Linked DNA regions of Drosophila melanogaster. The protein of the gene in region 1 interacts with the protein of each later gene in a pairwise test. Each region holds a gene or a part of one and is shown in the gene's direction. Other genes may lie near its edges.

Evidence for each region.
Region 2: the proteins of CG12992 (region 1) and yellow-g2 interact in a two-hybrid assay, tested with the Drosophila melanogaster proteins (one large-scale study listed by BioGRID).
Region 3: the proteins of CG12992 (region 1) and Cpr100A interact in a two-hybrid assay, tested with the Drosophila melanogaster proteins (one large-scale study listed by BioGRID).
Region 4: the proteins of CG12992 (region 1) and Lcp1 interact in a two-hybrid assay, tested with the Drosophila melanogaster proteins (one large-scale study listed by BioGRID).

Annotation. Positions count from the first base shown.
Region 1 is NC_004354.4:17,586,946-17,592,215, forward strand, and holds CG12992 (uncharacterized protein), read left to right. Parts: upstream 1-1,919; 5' UTR 1,920-1,985; intron 1,986-2,042; 5' UTR 2,043-2,150; intron 2,151-3,012; exon of another isoform or gene 3,013-3,069; 5' UTR 3,070-3,256; coding exon 3,257-3,523; intron 3,524-3,571; coding exon 3,572-4,603; 3' UTR 4,604-4,761; downstream 4,762-5,270.
Region 2 is NT_037436.4:2,274,674-2,278,579, forward strand, and holds yellow-g2 (yellow-g2), read left to right. Parts: upstream 1-1,876; 5' UTR 1,877-1,924; coding exon 1,925-2,777; intron 2,778-2,835; coding exon 2,836-3,131; 3' UTR 3,132-3,365; downstream 3,366-3,906.
Region 3 is NT_033777.3:30,865,659-30,869,736, forward strand, and holds Cpr100A (cuticular protein 100A), read left to right. Parts: upstream 1-1,862; 5' UTR 1,863-2,013; coding exon 2,014-2,025; intron 2,026-2,248; coding exon 2,249-2,496; intron 2,497-2,559; coding exon 2,560-3,025; 3' UTR 3,026-3,526; downstream 3,527-4,078.
Region 4 is NT_033778.4:8,429,551-8,433,022, reverse strand, and holds Lcp1 (larval cuticle protein 1), read left to right. Parts: upstream 1-1,779; 5' UTR 1,780-1,821; coding exon 1,822-1,833; intron 1,834-1,897; coding exon 1,898-2,278; 3' UTR 2,279-2,908; downstream 2,909-3,472. UniProt on the Drosophila melanogaster protein: Component of the larval cuticle.

The DNA of each region.
Region 1 (5,270 bases):
TATTCGCGAATAGAACGCGGCGAGACACAGGCATTTGCATAATGGAGATGATTTGGTGAAGAAGAGGGTTTGGGGAGCCGCCAGAAACCACAATTATGCAATTTCCTGGCCGTCTCTAAGCACTTAATTATGGTTATTAAAAATTTGGCAAATAGTTTCTTCGCCTTTGTGCGCCCGATCATTTGCACATAGTTAGCTTGAAGCCAGACGCATGTGAAACATCGGAATTGGCCATATCATTATGGTTAAAATAAATTGTATATTTACATACATACATACATATATGCATGTTCGGATGTGGCGTGCCAGCTCTTAGCCAGATTTGCAAATCGGCAACGAGTTGAACGAACGATGGTAGCAATATTTTGACCATCATCATCATTCAAGAGATGACAAACTGCTAAATATTGAAGCAAAAACGTGGAAAAAATAAAAGAAGTGAAGAGAAAGGCAGCCATATGAACCACATTGAATGATTAACACTCTTTAATAGCATTAATGTCTTCATTTGTTTAATTTACTAATTGATTTCGCCAAACAAAACGCTGTATTTTAATGCTTATTGGCTAGTAACCAGAATAACTTGGCTTTGGCTTGGCCAGTAAGTAATAAAAGCCAACAAATGGTAAATAATAGATGGTGGTATCATATCGGACAGTGAATAAGGTCAGTTATAGTTTATTCAGTAGGGGTTTTAGTAAGCGATCAAACTAGTACCCAAAATGAATTAATAAAGGCAAGATAGCAAAGGAAAGAGGTTAGTATTTGCTGGTCAAACCGCCCGTTTTGAGGTCAAACCAAACCCCCTTGAGGGAGTTGGGGTAAATAGTTTTGCTTGCACTTAAACGAAATCAATGCGATTAAAATCGACTTGGCCCAGTCTTGCGGACGGCCAACTGAACTAGCCTTATCAACCATCGAGAATCGGTGTCAGCTAATCGAGCACCCACAACTACAACAACAAACCGCTGTCCCCAATAGTGGAGCACCACTTGGTCATTCCGACCACGTCGCATGGAAATGGAAAACGAGACGAAAACAGAAATGGAAACGGAAAACAAACCTAGAAGCCGAAACCAAAACAGAATAAGAAGCAGCGCCACTCCAAACATGGTCAACGAAATTTGTTTTGTGTTTTGTCACTTTCTCAGCCCAGAACCAAAGAAACACAAACGCGTCATATGGGTGCGCCCTTCAGAAAAATGTGCACAATAATGGGCAAAAGTGTACATGGCTTATAAAGTATTATTCTTACAAATACTGTGACTATAAATCGGATTTAATAACAACTAATCAATTCAATGGACAACTCAGCATTTGCATTATATTAAACCTCTAATGTGAACGCGCTTATGATATTCAAAGTTCAAAGTGTTATTTAGTCAAATAAGGTAATATGTCTGCTAGTAATTTGCCCCCTGCTGTAGTAACTATGTACGTCATTTGCAGGGGTTCTGAACCCAACCCATAGCAGTGGTTCACGTTACACTCGAGCACGTTCTTATCGCAATTAATTGCAGCGCATTGCATAAGCATCGCAAACTTATAGGGTGATACCAAAACGTAAACATAATCTCTGACTCAGCCCAGTGGGTAGCAATTATTAATTATAATTAATAAGCCAAAAGCCAAGGCAAGTCTTGCTTTGATTGGCCAAAAACGCAGCCAGAAGCGGAAAACAAAAACTGAGTCGAATTACACCACAGTTCAAGGGATACAAAAGGGAGTGGGCTGGGGGTCGATATCTGGCTAAGATCGGTGAGCTTACCCAGCCGGATCGGCACTGGAGCGCATCTGAGTGTGTCCACGTCAGCGGGCATCCAAAACAGAGCAGAAATCTTGAGATCCGAGTAATCTAGATATTGTCCTTCAAGTCAGTATTGTGCCACTCAACTGATCAACTTAAGTAGCTTGGAAATTTACATCAAATTATGACAAGTTGTTAGAAAAGTAGTATATACATATTCCTTGGCACGGGCCTTAAAGTAATATACATTTCTTTCTTATAAAATGTTTAATTTTATTACTTGATTTACTTGCAGTTGCATCTGAAGTGCAAGAAGGAAACAAATTAAATATTCACTAGGGCGGAATACTAAGGAAAACTCAAGCCACACACTGAGGAAATCAAAGTAGGAACAACTAAAACTGTAAGTAGTAACGCAAGGAAAATAAGGGAAATTGGGAAAAGGGAAAACAAGCAACATCAACATCTGCAAATCATATGCAGAGCGTCACTCGCATATGGATATGAGATTTCAGATTTTCGTGACCATATCCGGTTGCCAGTCAGCAGTTGCAACTGCAATTGCAGCTTCCATCAAAACAATAGCAAAAACCAAAAGACGAAATGCGGAGCGAACTGAAAACGCAACTTGGGTCTTTTGGGGCCCAGGGAAATCGCATCTTGGCATTCGCCATTGTTGCTATGGGGATTTTTTTCTTTTTTGGCGGGGGGTGTACAATAAATATAGGGTGGAAGTTGCGTAAAACGATGATATGATATTCACACATAGATCGGGCGATAACATCAATAACTAAAGATGATGTGGAAATCAGAAGGTTCAAATGATGTGCCTATAAGGTTACATACATAAATAAATAGATAAATACATACTCTTACATACATACAAAGGTTGTTTTCTAGTCTAGCAAATGATGTTTTAAATAAGAGAAATGTATTTGTAAGAGTACATAACTTGTATCATAAATTAATAATATTATTAAGACTCAACAATGGTTTGGTCTAAAATAATCCACCATTTGATTCAGTGTTTTGAATCCAAATTAAGTTAAGTTTGTTTTTGTTTTGATTTATATCCAGTGTTGAATAAGCTTTTCATGTACTGTGTGTGTGTGTGTGTGTGTGCATATGTTTATGTTCATCTTATCTTGTTTATCTAGCATTGTATAATTAGGTTTAGATTTTGTTAGAATAAGTTTAGATACATCCAGTGCTGTATAATGTTCCAATAACTACATATTTATCTAGTATTGCATAATTCATTTTAGTGTTTAAATAAGTTTAGATAAATCCAGTATTGTTTAATTTGCTGATGAACTTAGCAGTGATTGGCCGAAAGTGGGAAACCTAACCTCATGTTCTAGAAAAAGAATCGCCAACAAATTTCAAGTAAGCAGTGCCTTCTGTCAACTCGAATGTCATTTGGAATTGCCTGAGCTCTATTCAGTTTCGTATACCTCCGGATTACACGTACTAACGTTTGAAAAAAAAAAAACTAAAATTCCAATCAAAATGCCACACAAAAAATTTCCCAGAATGTCACAGGCGCAACTCAAACGTTTGATCAAATCACAAAATCAGAACATAGCAAAGGCCGCGTGTATTTTGGAACCCCCAAAAATTATACAGCAGCCGTCGATGAGGCAGTCCATCATTCCACCGAATCCTGCTTATAGCAAGAAACAGGGCAAAAATGCGGCTCGCCCAAATTCCGAGCGAGCTGGAAAGGTGCCAATGCAGGGGCTGAACCACGTGGTGCCGGAGGACACTGTGAAACAGGTGAAGCAATAAGTATAGTGCAAAAAGCGGGCTTATCGCATAAAATAGTACTTTCAGCATAATCAATCTAAGCAGATGCAACGCAATCGAAGGAATCCATCGTCGAAGATGCAACAAAATGGCAATGAAGCATCCAAGCAGGAGAAGCCCAATCAGCACGAGGACAAGAGCCGTCCCAAGCAGTTGTATTCAAGCGTTGTGGCCAATAAGCAAGACGGGCCCACCGCAGTGAATGCTCCTCCACCCAAGGAGGGCTCATCTGTCAATCAAATTGGATCGTGTTGTCATCATGGCAATGTTTCGGGCGAAAAGCAGAAATGTCCGGATACCAGCTCATCATCCGCCACGTTCACTTGGCCCAGTCAATCGGTTAAAAGCCAGGGGTTTTTCGGAACTAGCGATTCTTCAGCTGACCCATTCAGCATGCAGAATCTGAAGAAGATTGCCCGGGATTTCTTCTCATATCCGGAGTTTCATCCACCGGAGGCCAGCGAAAACATTGCCGCTGCCAATGGCTCCAAGAAAGCTGAGCCCTCGAGGACGAAATCCCAGCCGGGTCTCAACTCTTCGCCGAGAGGCTCTGCCTTGGGTGCCGATAGGTCGGGCCATCCTCAATCGATTGCGGGTGGAACGAATTCTCGCCGGAAGGATTATCCATTGGAGGAGGCCTTCATGACCGTAATCCGCAATCTGCGCGAAAATTATCCGGGCAATGATTCGATTTCATCTTCAAATCGCCCGAATATCCAATTTGATAACTACCAATCGGCGCAAGGTTTCGGCTATGGTTCCAATTCCTATTACAACGCTCAATCGACATCCGCTTACGGCTATCCTCCGACTGGTTTTCCGATGTCCCAGCAGTCAGGCTTCATGCCAAAGTATAACCAAATGCCGACGGCTAATGGTTCAAATTTAAATCAACCGCCATTGATTAGCGAAACTTATCAGGCCGAAGCGCAGCAGCATCCTTGCTGGCCGGTATATATTCCGGAATATGTTTCGCATTTTATGTTCGGTGAGCCACAGGACGCCAATGCCAGCTGCTCTCGTAATTCAAACCACGGCAACAAGATGTAAAATAGAATCCGGAGGGAAATCGGAATAGTGTAGCATTTAAAAATCTATTCATCATTCAACACCATTCGAAAAAAATTGCTAATGTAATACACAGACCAATTCCGTAATCCTAATCATTTATTTTGCATCTATGTATTAATAAACATTTGTAATGTTACAAATATTTTCCATATATTTGTAAGCCAATTACACTTAACCATCTTTTGTAATGATGCAATCCGAAGATAAACAAAAAATGTATGCATCTCAACTACCTCAATTAGAATTTAAGTAAAATGTGTAATGATGATGATGTATAAAGAAATGCCATCAAATTTCACTTTCAACTCGGCGGAAGAAAGTGAAAAACATGCGAAAAAAGAAATTAATGAAAAAATCGAGCAGCTTACCAACAATTGAAATAAAGGAAAAAATCAACTAGTCAGCGTCGATTGTTTGGTGGTCAGTTGTTTGGTTTTCTACTATTACCAAACCAATGCCAACAAAAGAAATTTTTTTCTTTTTTCTTTTTTGGCCAAGTAAAATAAGAAATCAAATAAGATGAATCTTGCCTTATAAAATGTGAAATTTTCCTGCCATTATGATTAGAATTTGGGCTTAAGCTCATTATCTAATCAAAGATATTGATAACACCTGCGAAAAAGCAATTGAAGAAACTTACGATTGA
Region 2 (3,906 bases), on another chromosome or scaffold:
TGTCCGCACTCATTTGGAAATATTTTCTCCTTGATATCGACAGATGCGTTTAAATGGCAAATGTAAACTCATTGATAGCACATTGGGTGCAAAAAGTGAATGTTTCATATGCACACACAGTAGCAGCGGGTTGCCAAGAGCAATTTGTCGGATGAATTCAATGAATTCAATTATTGCAAAACAATTAAACCAAGATGGGCCACTGGATAAAGGCAATAATTTATGGCGATTGCAAAAGGTTGAGAGCCAATGTGGACAACTTTAAGCAGACGTAAACAAAACTTGGCCGACGAAAGAAAGCCAGCAAAGTGAAAGCAAAGCACATAAATTAGGCGAGCGGCCAAAAAATTATGGGAAGATTAACTTTAAGCGCAGCTGATGACTTTTTAATACCCTGTACTACAACTGTAAGCCCCTGAAAACTTTCTGTGATAACCAATTTAAATCAAATTACCTATATATTACCTATAGCTAGTTAACTATAACTATCATAAAAATACTATTTTAAATGACGTTATTAATCCACCCTGGAGTTCAGCATTTCCAGAAAAGGTTGGTCTGAATTTATGTGAAATTCCCGGTAAAGAAAATCGCTTTCCTCAGCACAAAGTTAAAAAAGCATAAACCTCATTTGGCCCATTTACCAAAACAAATCAAACGTGACCACAGACAATTTTTTTTTTGTACATTTTTCCGCTGCTGCGGGACAAAAAAAAAGAACGACAAATTATTGGCTTATTTGCGTTTTCAATTGGATTTTTATTGGCACACATATAAAAAGTTGAACTTTGCTTTGTTGCGCAGCGCGTTTTAAAGAAGTCGCACATAATCCCCCGACTTTGCAGATGACGCATACGCCCCGTTAACGGGCCATAAACAAGAACTGTCAATGTAATGTGTGGAGAACGTCCTGCGGAATGTCTGGCCATGGTTTTGCCGAGCAGTGAGTGGAGTTTCCCCAGCTAATGGGGGTCAGTCGGCAGTCGTCCGGCAGTCTCTTATCTACCCCCCAAAACTTTTTTGTTGCTGGGAGGTAAGTGTTTACATAAATTATGTCAGATGAGCAGCCCGGAAATGCTTGTCATCAATTTTTTGCGCTCCATCTATGTATGTATATGTATATATGTGCGCTTGTCTCGTATAAATCATTCTGGTGGGTGGGGAAAAAGCCAACCGGAATGCGGGTTTCGGCTGACAATTTAACATGCCAAACACGTTGGTTTTGGTTTGGGGCGATTCCGGGTTGTCTGCCCGTATCGAGGGCCTTAACCTATTTAGGGGCAATTATGGTGATGGAAATGGCGAAATGGCCCAGGAATTCTGCAGGGAAATCCCGGGGATGCTGAGATTTTTCTTTCACTCCTTCAATCACTCTTTATGGGCCAACTTATGGCTGGCAAAATCTCAGATTGAGGTCATTTTGTTGCCCGCAATTAATTAGCTAAAAATATCGCCACCAATCTGGAGACACTTGTTGGGGTTCCGTTTTCAATTGACTGCAATAATTGCAATGCCATTTTTATGGTCGATTGGATAATTGCGGGAGGAATGTGTCCTTCGCCTTGGTCCTTTGGCTCCATTCGAAAACTTCCCTGGCTTCTGTCCTGGGAATGGCTGGCTTTTAGTTATGTAATGGAATTGAAACTATTCAATTAATGTATACAAGTTCATATTAATAGCACAAGTTAATGATTTAATTTCAGTCATAAATGTCATTAGTTTTTACCATCGTTTACTGGTTAACTCTTGCCAAGGTCATAAAGTTCGCAAAAAATCAGTTTAAAAGCTAAGAATTGGGTGCGAGGCACGTTGCCGTCTTGTGGTCAAATTCTATGGGCTGTTGGGTTATATAAGCACGCCACTTGGCCAATTTGGGGAGCAGAACGCGCACGTCGCTGCCGCACCATTAACAATTGCTTCCACGATGAGACTGCACTTGGCCCTGATCCTTGGATTTTGCCTAGTTGGCTGGGCCCGCTCGCAGGGCACCAAGTACGGACTGTGGACTCCGGATCGGGCGCACTCCGATTCTCAGCCCATCCAGTGGACGGGCGGGCAATTCGAGTTCCCATGCGCCAGTACCAAGTCGCTCTTCAAGAGCTCCGGAAAGTTTATACCCAAGAATGTGATTGCCACGCGGGCGCAGCTCATTGGAGACACCATCTATCTGGCTCTGCCGCGCTACAGGAAGGGAGTTCCGGCCACGCTGGTGAAGACCAGTATCAAGCCGGGCACCTGCTCCACCACCTTTAAGCCCTATCCCTGCTGGGACCTCCAGGAGGAGGGCAACTGCAAGGCTCTGCAATCGGTGGTGGATCTGGTGGTAGACCAAAACGAGGTGCTCTGGGTCTTGGACACGGGCATAGTGAACACTCTGGAGACTCCGGTGCGCAAGTGCCCACCAAAAGTGGTGGCCATGTCGGTGAAGACTGGCAAGGTTCTGAAGACCGTCTCGCTGGAGGGCCTGACTTCCAGCAATTCCCGTCTCCAATATCTGGTAGTGGACTATGCTCCGGATGGCGGCTGCTTTGTCTACGTCAGCGATGCCGCCAATCGGGCCATCATCGTGTACAATCTCCAGGCGGATCGGGGATTCAGGGTGGTGCTGCCCAAGGCCGTTACCGCCGGCTGTCGGTCGAGGGATGTCCTCTACATAGCCCTCATCCGCCGGGACTGCGGCTCAACGGAACTGTACTTCACCTACCTGAGCACCAACAAACTGTTCTCCCTGAAGTCAGAGTATCTGAGGAGTGGAGTGGCCGATGGACGCATCTTGGGTGAGTTATATATTTCGAATTTCAAAGAAAACATTTATTAAGTTATCATAATATTCAGATCTCGGCAAGAAGCCCAGTCGCATGGTCATCATCGGCACGGACAACGGCTCGGCGATCTTCTTCCGCAACGAGGGCGACGCGGAGGTGTACCGCTGGGACACGAACTCCACATTCGTGGAGGCCAACTTCAAGCCGGTTTACCGCAGTCAGACCTGCCAGCTGGTGACCCATGCTGTGCCCGATTACAAGCGGAACACGATGCGAGTCCTGCAGAGCAATTTTCCGGATTACATGCAGAACCGCGTTGGATGCGGAGCCATTCAGCAGCTGGGTCTGATGCAGGGCTGTTGGTAACCATGTTAACACCCCATTTTGGCCACCACTCGTCCTCCACAAGCCAATCCGAATTGAAAGCTGAAAAACTGAATATGCCATTGCAGTTAGATTGGCAATAACCGAGAATGGGTCGCTCTTTGGACCCTCGAGTGCTCTTCGTATTTGGTATTGGTGTTTTGTACATAAACTAACGACTTTGGTCGCTATTGTTGTTATCTAAGCTAAGCAAATAAACGTTTCATATTCATACAGAAGGAGAGGCTAAATAATTGGGGCTACTGTCGCTGATAAATGGAATATTTCAATATGTAAATTGGTAGTCCACATACACTGTATATGCATGGATAGCAGTTTTTCTCTTTTAATAGCTTTTTGCATTGCTTTTATTGCACTTTATTTTACCTCTTAAAAACTTAATTTTATTTGTTACTGTTTCTGGCAACTTTACTCTGCCATAAAACTTGGGAACAACAGCGACATTAATTAAGCTAATTGGAACTGGTCCTCGTGTTAAAGTAGTCAGTAAAGTGCACAGATTATACTGCCATTCCCATATCTCTTCGCCCCTCACTGACGGAAAATCGAGAGGATCGAACTTCGTAACCTGGAGACGTTGGGTGTGGAAAAGGCCAGGCAAGTGTTAATTGGAAGTTGGCTGATAAATTGCACGGCATCCCTTGCAGTGGCTTCCGATTCCGTATATTTCGTCGACTCAATCGGAAAAACAGCCACAAGGCGCCGCGGGAAATTGCGCTCGATATAAAATCAATTAATCAGCAACTCTTGTCTGTGC
Region 3 (4,078 bases), on another chromosome or scaffold:
AGGATCTTTAAATATTTTAGATATAACTGTAGTTCCATTTCTATAGATATTTTAAGTAGAGGAAATTCTAGAATTTCTAGTTTCCGAGTGATCACTGTAGCTAGACCGTTTCAACCCTCCGATGGGCACACCCTCAAGCTAATCCGGCCATGCTCAACTGCTCGGCCTCACCTTGGATCCGCTGCTCTTGCCATCGCCTCCTTGCCATGGCGTTCGCACATCAAGTATATATTCCGGAACTATATGCCATAGCTGCAGTTTCCTGTTGTTGTTTGTCAACTGATTTAATTTCCTCCTCCTTTTACCGCTTTCTGCTCTGATCACCGCCTCCTGCTGCGAGAGGGCGTTCTCCGCTTTTGGCCACACAAACAAGACCGCCGGATAATGACGATGGTAATGATGATGGCGATGTTCAGACGATGGCGACTTGCAAAAGGGCAAATAACGGTGTAAATGAGAGTGTTGCTACTCGAAATCTTCGACCCCATGCGGCTACTTTGTGTGCAAGAGTGTGCCGCTGTGTGGAAATCGCTCATTAAAATATGAAAACCCGATTTGCATACATAAATGCTCTAATTCTCTTTACGTTCAATTTTAGGGCTTAAGAAAAATTCTTTAAAATTAAAATGAATATCGATATAGATAATGTAATGTTAATTTGACTCTAGATATAAAACTTCAAATAACCAAAGTTGGAGATGCAGACCTGTTTGCATTGTTAGATCATAAATAATGCCAAAAGTTCTCTGCAAACATTACGCAAAGTGGGGGGCGTGGGAGTGGGCGTGTGGCATGTGGGTGGGCGGCCAACTGCTTTGGCCATAAACAAGCCCAAACAATGCCAGACATTTCAAACACAATAAATAATTGAAGCCAGCGCAGAGTCAACAAGTCAAACACATTGCGGTAACACTGGCGATTGTTGCCAAGCGCTTTTGGCCACACCACAAAGTCCAGCTTTTCAGTCCGATCTAGATATAAATCAACTTGGCCATGCACATGCAGAACGCAAATCCAGCTAAAAGGCAAACAAACGGCTTTACAACTTTACAACTTGAAGAGGGGAGTGAAAAGTTAACAACGCTCATTTGGCGAATTTCCCAAGATATGTTCGGATTTTCAGCAGAGGGCGACCGCCCAGTTATCCATCACAATCGACAGTTTCCACGGGCTTTTCACACTGGAAAAATCAAAAAGACAATAAAGACGAGGCTTTTGCCAATTTCTTCCACAGGGTGTTGTAGTTACTTTCTATTTCTGTTTTTTAGCTTAGGCCAACATTATTGGCATACAATACTATTATTCAATCTATTTTATATCCCGTTTTATTTGTATTTTCCATACATTTTCCTTTTTTCCTACTCTTAAACTAAACTATTGCCATTAAAATTGCATCATGCTCTGCAGAACTAATTGGTAATTCCTGGTTTCGATAGATCCCCTCCCAGATGAGGATACCTCTGCGCTGAGGCTGGATTACAGCTGAAAAACTTTTGAAATAATTAAAAAATATTTTCGTCTTGGGCTTGGGCCTGGTGCAGGCAGAAACGGTGGAACTAAGTGCATATAGCATATATTCGTATATATAGAAAGCAAAAGTTGGCGCTCCAAGCGAAAGAGATCGAAACTGGTAAAACGACTTGGCAACACGACCGCGATACCAATACTCGCCCAAAGTTGACTTATTGGAGCACTTAGCTCGATTCTTGTTATTGTTACGCCGACTTGGCCGACTTGTTGTTGCCGTTAACGTTAATAGTACCAACACAATTACATAGCTTGGAGTGCCTAGGCGGAGTCGATCGGCGATCCAGCGATCCAAGGTTCCCGCTCGGACTATAAAAAGCTTGGGCGGCACCGTTGCGGAAGGCAGTTAACTCCACAAATCCGTTGCCGTCGGTCCCATTTCCCTCTTAACCGACTTGTAAGCGTAAAGGCGCGTGTGAATCCCCCTCGAGAAGAAGATAAAATTGTGTGCAGTTTACGCTTGACAAGGATATTCCCCACACCAAAATGTTCAGATTTGTGAGTTGTGTTTTATTCAAGGCTGTTCGAACAATTTAAAAGCTATTAAGAGAAAAGTAATCAAACTGACGGACAAAAGTGTCAATTCAAACCAGGATATTCTAGAGTACACATTAAATAGTGAAAGTCTTACCTTATAATACGTTAAGTGATAATGACTCAGATTAAGGAATTGGCAGCACACAAATACTTGATTGTACAATAAATTTTGAATTCTTGACAGCTTGCACTGACCACCTTGGTGGCCCTGGCTTCCAGCCAGCACTATCACCAGGATCCCAAAACGGCGGCCATCATCAGTGAGCAGCGTTATCTGTCCGGAGATGGAAAGTTCGGAGCTGCCTATGAGCAGGAGGATGGCATCAACTTCAAGGAGGAGACGGATGCGGATGGAACACGTCATGGCAGCTACAGCTATCTGGATCCCACGGGCCAGAGGCGTACTATTTCGTACACAGCTGGCAAAAATGGGTAAGCACTTTCTATAGAACAAATACCCGAACTTGTATTAATTTGGTTTTTATTCCGAAATAGTTTCCAAGCTTCTGGAGATCACTTGCCCCAGGCACCACCTGCTCCACCACAGCCCGTGCCCACAGCGGGATATCAGCCACAGCAGCAGTACCAGCCGCAGCAGTACCAGGCTCCCGCTCCCCAGCCGCAGGCCAGTTTCCGCAGCAATGACTACGGAGATGATGGTTCCTACGATCCCCGCTACAACGATCCCTCTTTCGGACAGAACCAGCAGAGCTACCAGCAGCCCGCTGCCCAGCCGCAGTACCGTCCTGCTCCCCAGCCCGCCTACAACCCACAGCCCGTGCAGCCGCAGCAGCAGTACCAGCCTCAGTATCAGCAGCCCCAACCCCAGTATCAGCAGCCGCAACCCCAGCAGGCGTACTACACCACCACCACCCCCAACCCACACCGCTTTTCGCCACCCGGCAAACTGTCCCTGAACCGCACGCCCGATGGCTTCACCTACTCCTTCAACAAGGTATAAGCCCCACTGTCCTCCACTCAGACATTATGCATCTTCTTCATTAGTAGGGATCCTCTTTCTTCTTTTCCAACTTTCCCTATCACAACTAGAACCCCTACTCTTTTCTTGACTCCATCAAACTCTCGTGTGATATGTTTAAGAGCAATTGTATCGTACTTCCTATATGCGTACTGTTTGTTATTAATTTATAATCCTACACAGAGAAAATTAATCGCTGCTGCCCAATGGGTATTGCTGATTTAAATTACAAAATATATTCAAAATATCATTTGCATATTTTTGAAATATGAAAAAACTCAAGAAATGTCGGCCTTTTTCTCTGTGACTTTCCCATTAAACTTTAATCTTTCCATTTAAGTCTTCCCAAGAAAAGAGAAGTCAATAAACTTCGATGATGTTGAAAAATGATCAAAATTAATTTAGAAACTATGTTAATTTGGGCCTTGGGACGTCTGAGCAATTTGTACTATAATCGAGTAAAAACAATATATGAAGGAAACCAAGTTCGTGTCCTGCAGTCTTTTGTTTTTCGGCCAGTGGCCGCTTATTTAATTTCCAGCAGATTTATCTAAACACCTCGGGTGGTGAACGCCCACTAAATGCGGCATTACACAACCGACTTTCGTACGTGCAAAACAAGTTTCGAGTTTCTGTTACGATTCTATGCGGCCAACAAGGAAAGACCTCAAACGGGTTTCGCTCATTTGACAGTAATCTTGGCCAATTGTGCAAAATTCCGATGAAAATGAAATCAGCCTGGTGTGCTGGTGCTGGCTAAGCCGGAAAACCATGTGCAAGTGGGGGTGGCACTGGTTCATTAGGGGATTGGGGCTCTAAATCAATTCCCAATGGTATTGCGATCCGTCAGGCTCCAGTTGCGTTAGTGCAACTTAATAACATCCAAATGTTTTGCATATTTTATGCACCATCGAACGCAAGAATGCCGCCAGCTAATTTGCTATTTCCTCTCACCTGCTGAGTTCTCAGCATATGTGTGTTATAGTTTACAACTTAATTCGAGCACCGATTGCTATTCTATTATTTAATTGCACT
Region 4 (3,472 bases), on another chromosome or scaffold:
ATCCCGAAGGCGTTCCACTGACCGGTACCCGAGCATCCGCACCATCACCAAGACTCTTCACCCCGATCTCAGACCCATCCACCGACTTTCCATCGACATGTTATATATTATTCAATAAAGTTTTTTACCCGACATAAGTAAATGGTTTCAAAAAGAGAGAAGAATCACCATGAACGGCATTCCACGTAGTGACGAAGCGCACCAGAGAGTACAAAGACAACTTCTATCTGCTGTAGTTGTCTTATTATATTGTGTGATAACCAATAGAAAGGCAGCATAAAAAGTAAAGAGATTGAACCGTAAAATAATCTAAGAAGATAATGAGATAAAAACATACGAAGATAAACTGAAATGATAATACCCGTTACTCGAAAGTAAAATGGAATACTAGGAAAATTATGTAACAGGTAGAAGGAGGCGTTTCACACCATATAAAGTATATATATTTTTAAAAGCGATCAATAGCAGAGTATGTCCGTATGAACGCCTCGACTTCAAAAACTAGAGAGTTAAGATTAGATATGAAGATTCCAGAGGCCCACAAACGGCCTAAAACTGCCACGCCCACACGTTTTGAACAATTCAATAATTTTTTTCATATTATTATTTGTTTCCAAATTTTTACCGATATTCAAAAAAGTATTGAAATATATCGGTCACACTTCCAGCTGAGTATAGCATTCTCTCTTTTTAAAATAAGACTGGGAATTTGTTTGGTTGTTTGTCTGTCTGCAAATGCACCTCAAATAAATAATGTCATAAAGCGTCCCGAACGAGTAACTTTTAGATATTGTATTGTCTTAGTTGAATAAAAACTCTATTTTCGTCACAACAGTTAATATTAGAAGCTTGGATTGTTAAAGGTGCGATAGTCACTAGCATAAATCTCAGAAGAGGCTATTCTGTTTGATTACAAATTAATCTTAACTTTCAAACCAAATTTGTGAGGATACTGTGCGGTCTAACTGATCTGAAAAACAAACTATTCAAGCTCTTATATTAGATGTTCGGCTTGCACATTTAAATACCATGAAATGTATCTATAGGAATTATAAATTTTAAGTAAACTTTTAGTTTATATGCCTATACAGACAAGTAAATATCCTCTTTAGGTTAACATTAGGTTTTCTTAACAATTTTAATTGTCACTAAAAAACTATGTATTTCGGTAGCCTCCTATATGGAACAGGTCTTATTATCTTATTTAATTTTACGAAATATAAAAAAATAATATAAGGCGCTATGCATATGAAATATAATGTAAAACACACTTGAATTTGTTTAAAAGCAAACTGCAACCTGTTCGTCGAGAGGAATTGATAAAAAAAAGAAGAAATGGTGCCAAGGTAGAGACACACGTTTATATATTACAAAACATCGAGTCTAAGAAGTCGGCGATGCTTTGTAGTCCATGGAGTCTTGATGGGACTACAAAAGTGGTTCACGGCCTGGCAATGCCAAGTCAAGCTCAAAGGAGGGGATTTAATGAAGGGGCGGGTCAAACTCGTTTCGATTTCGGGATGCCACCCGACCCGTTTGCCCCTTATTGATGCGATTGTTTCATTTTAGCATCTATTAAGCGATTATATATAGTACTTATCCCGTTGTTTGGCATTTGCTAAGCTGTCGCATGTGACGATGCTTTTTAATGGGTGTGGGCGCATCCGCGAAGTCAACCCATAACTCAGCGAACCAATTGAATGCAAGATGTAGCGTTTTGATATGGGTTCACTTTGGGTGGCAATCATATAAAAAGGCTCTGCCCGACCACAATCAGTTATCAGTCAACGTTCGTTCTCGACCAGACAGAAGTCAGCCAATATGTTCAAGTTTGTAAGTGTCCGCAGGATACGAACCAACATACTCGATCCCTAACGAATGCCTATTTCTCCTTCAGGTCATGATCTGCGCAGTTTTGGGCCTGGCGGTGGCCAACCCCCCGGTGCCCCATTCCCTAGGCCGTTCGGAGGATGTCCACGCCGATGTCCTTTCCCAATCCGATGATGTTCGTGCCGATGGATTCGATTCCAGCCTGCACACCTCCAACGGAATCGAGCAGGCCGCCAGCGGTGATGCCCATGGCAACATCCACGGCAACTTCGGCTGGATCTCACCCGAGGGCGAGCACGTCGAGGTTAAGTACGTCGCCAATGAGAACGGATACCAGCCCTCGGGAGCCTGGATCCCCACTCCTCCTCCAATCCCAGAGGCCATCGCCCGCGCCGTCGCCTGGCTGGAGTCCCACCCACCAGCACCCGAGCACCCCCGTCATCACTAGAACCTCTATGAAAGCGGATCGCACTACGGACTGTTCCCCGAAGACCTTTCGAACTATTAGCTTAAGTAATCGTACTGTTTGTAAAATACACGCAATTGTTAACGGCAGAAACCAGTTTGCAACCTTGACTTTGAATTTGGCAAACAACTGTAACGGTTTCGAACCCGTCCTACCCGTTTACCACCTTCGATTTACTTAGTTGTTTAGCACGTTCAGTACAATATGGTAATGTGGTCTCTACCTGGACCGTAAACCGAATTCACAACAAAGGTACACCAAAAACAAAATATGCTCAAGTATATAATGTGCACACTTTGTACTTATTAGAGTACATGTATCTTCATTATCTAGAGTTTTATCCATTTACACTTAGGAATGCAGCTGATATCAAATTAGTCGGTAATATGTAACACATTTATTCTCTCAAGGAACTTGAGCAGGTTATTTATCATATATCGTATATTTTCAATGGAAATGGAATAGATTTGTGATTTGGCTGTCACATACAACATCAGAATTAAGCGGTGTTCACTCCTCAGTGGGAATTGTCTTTAAGCCTTTTTGAAACCGTCTCCAGATTCCATCAGAAATTACTGTCAATAAACGTTTTTGGCCTTAATTCGTATCGGTAAAACAGCTGATTCGTTTTAATTTGCTTGCTGACAATATTTTGAATAACTTAAATCTGCCCTAGATTTTAATAGAGCCTGTCGAAAAGGCAACTTTAACATTTCGAATAATTATCACGGCCACAAACCCGATTGCCAATTCTGGTTTAAAGAGAATTAGCTTTGAAACTGATTGGCAAAAAGCGTGAATTTAAAAATCGGAAAAGGCATAAAGCCAGAATTTGTCACCAAGCTGTTAAAATGATAATTTGTACTGTTCTTATTTTCAATAACAATGTTCTGAGTAACATAACCAGTTGAGATCCGGTAGGCGATTCTTATTAAAACCCCAAACTGAAAACATCTGGAGTGAATCCCAAATGAAGGGGCATGACTGTGGGCTCGATAAGCAAAGGTGTCGATATATGTACTTTGCTTAGCGATTAGTTAAGTCGACTTACTTTGGTTCGAGTTCTTTTAGGATTTATAGGGAATATATTCTATAACTAGGCAGCCTAACTTAAAATAACGATACATATAAATAAAAGCAAATACGAAAATGTAAGCCAAATGCCCCTCATTAAAT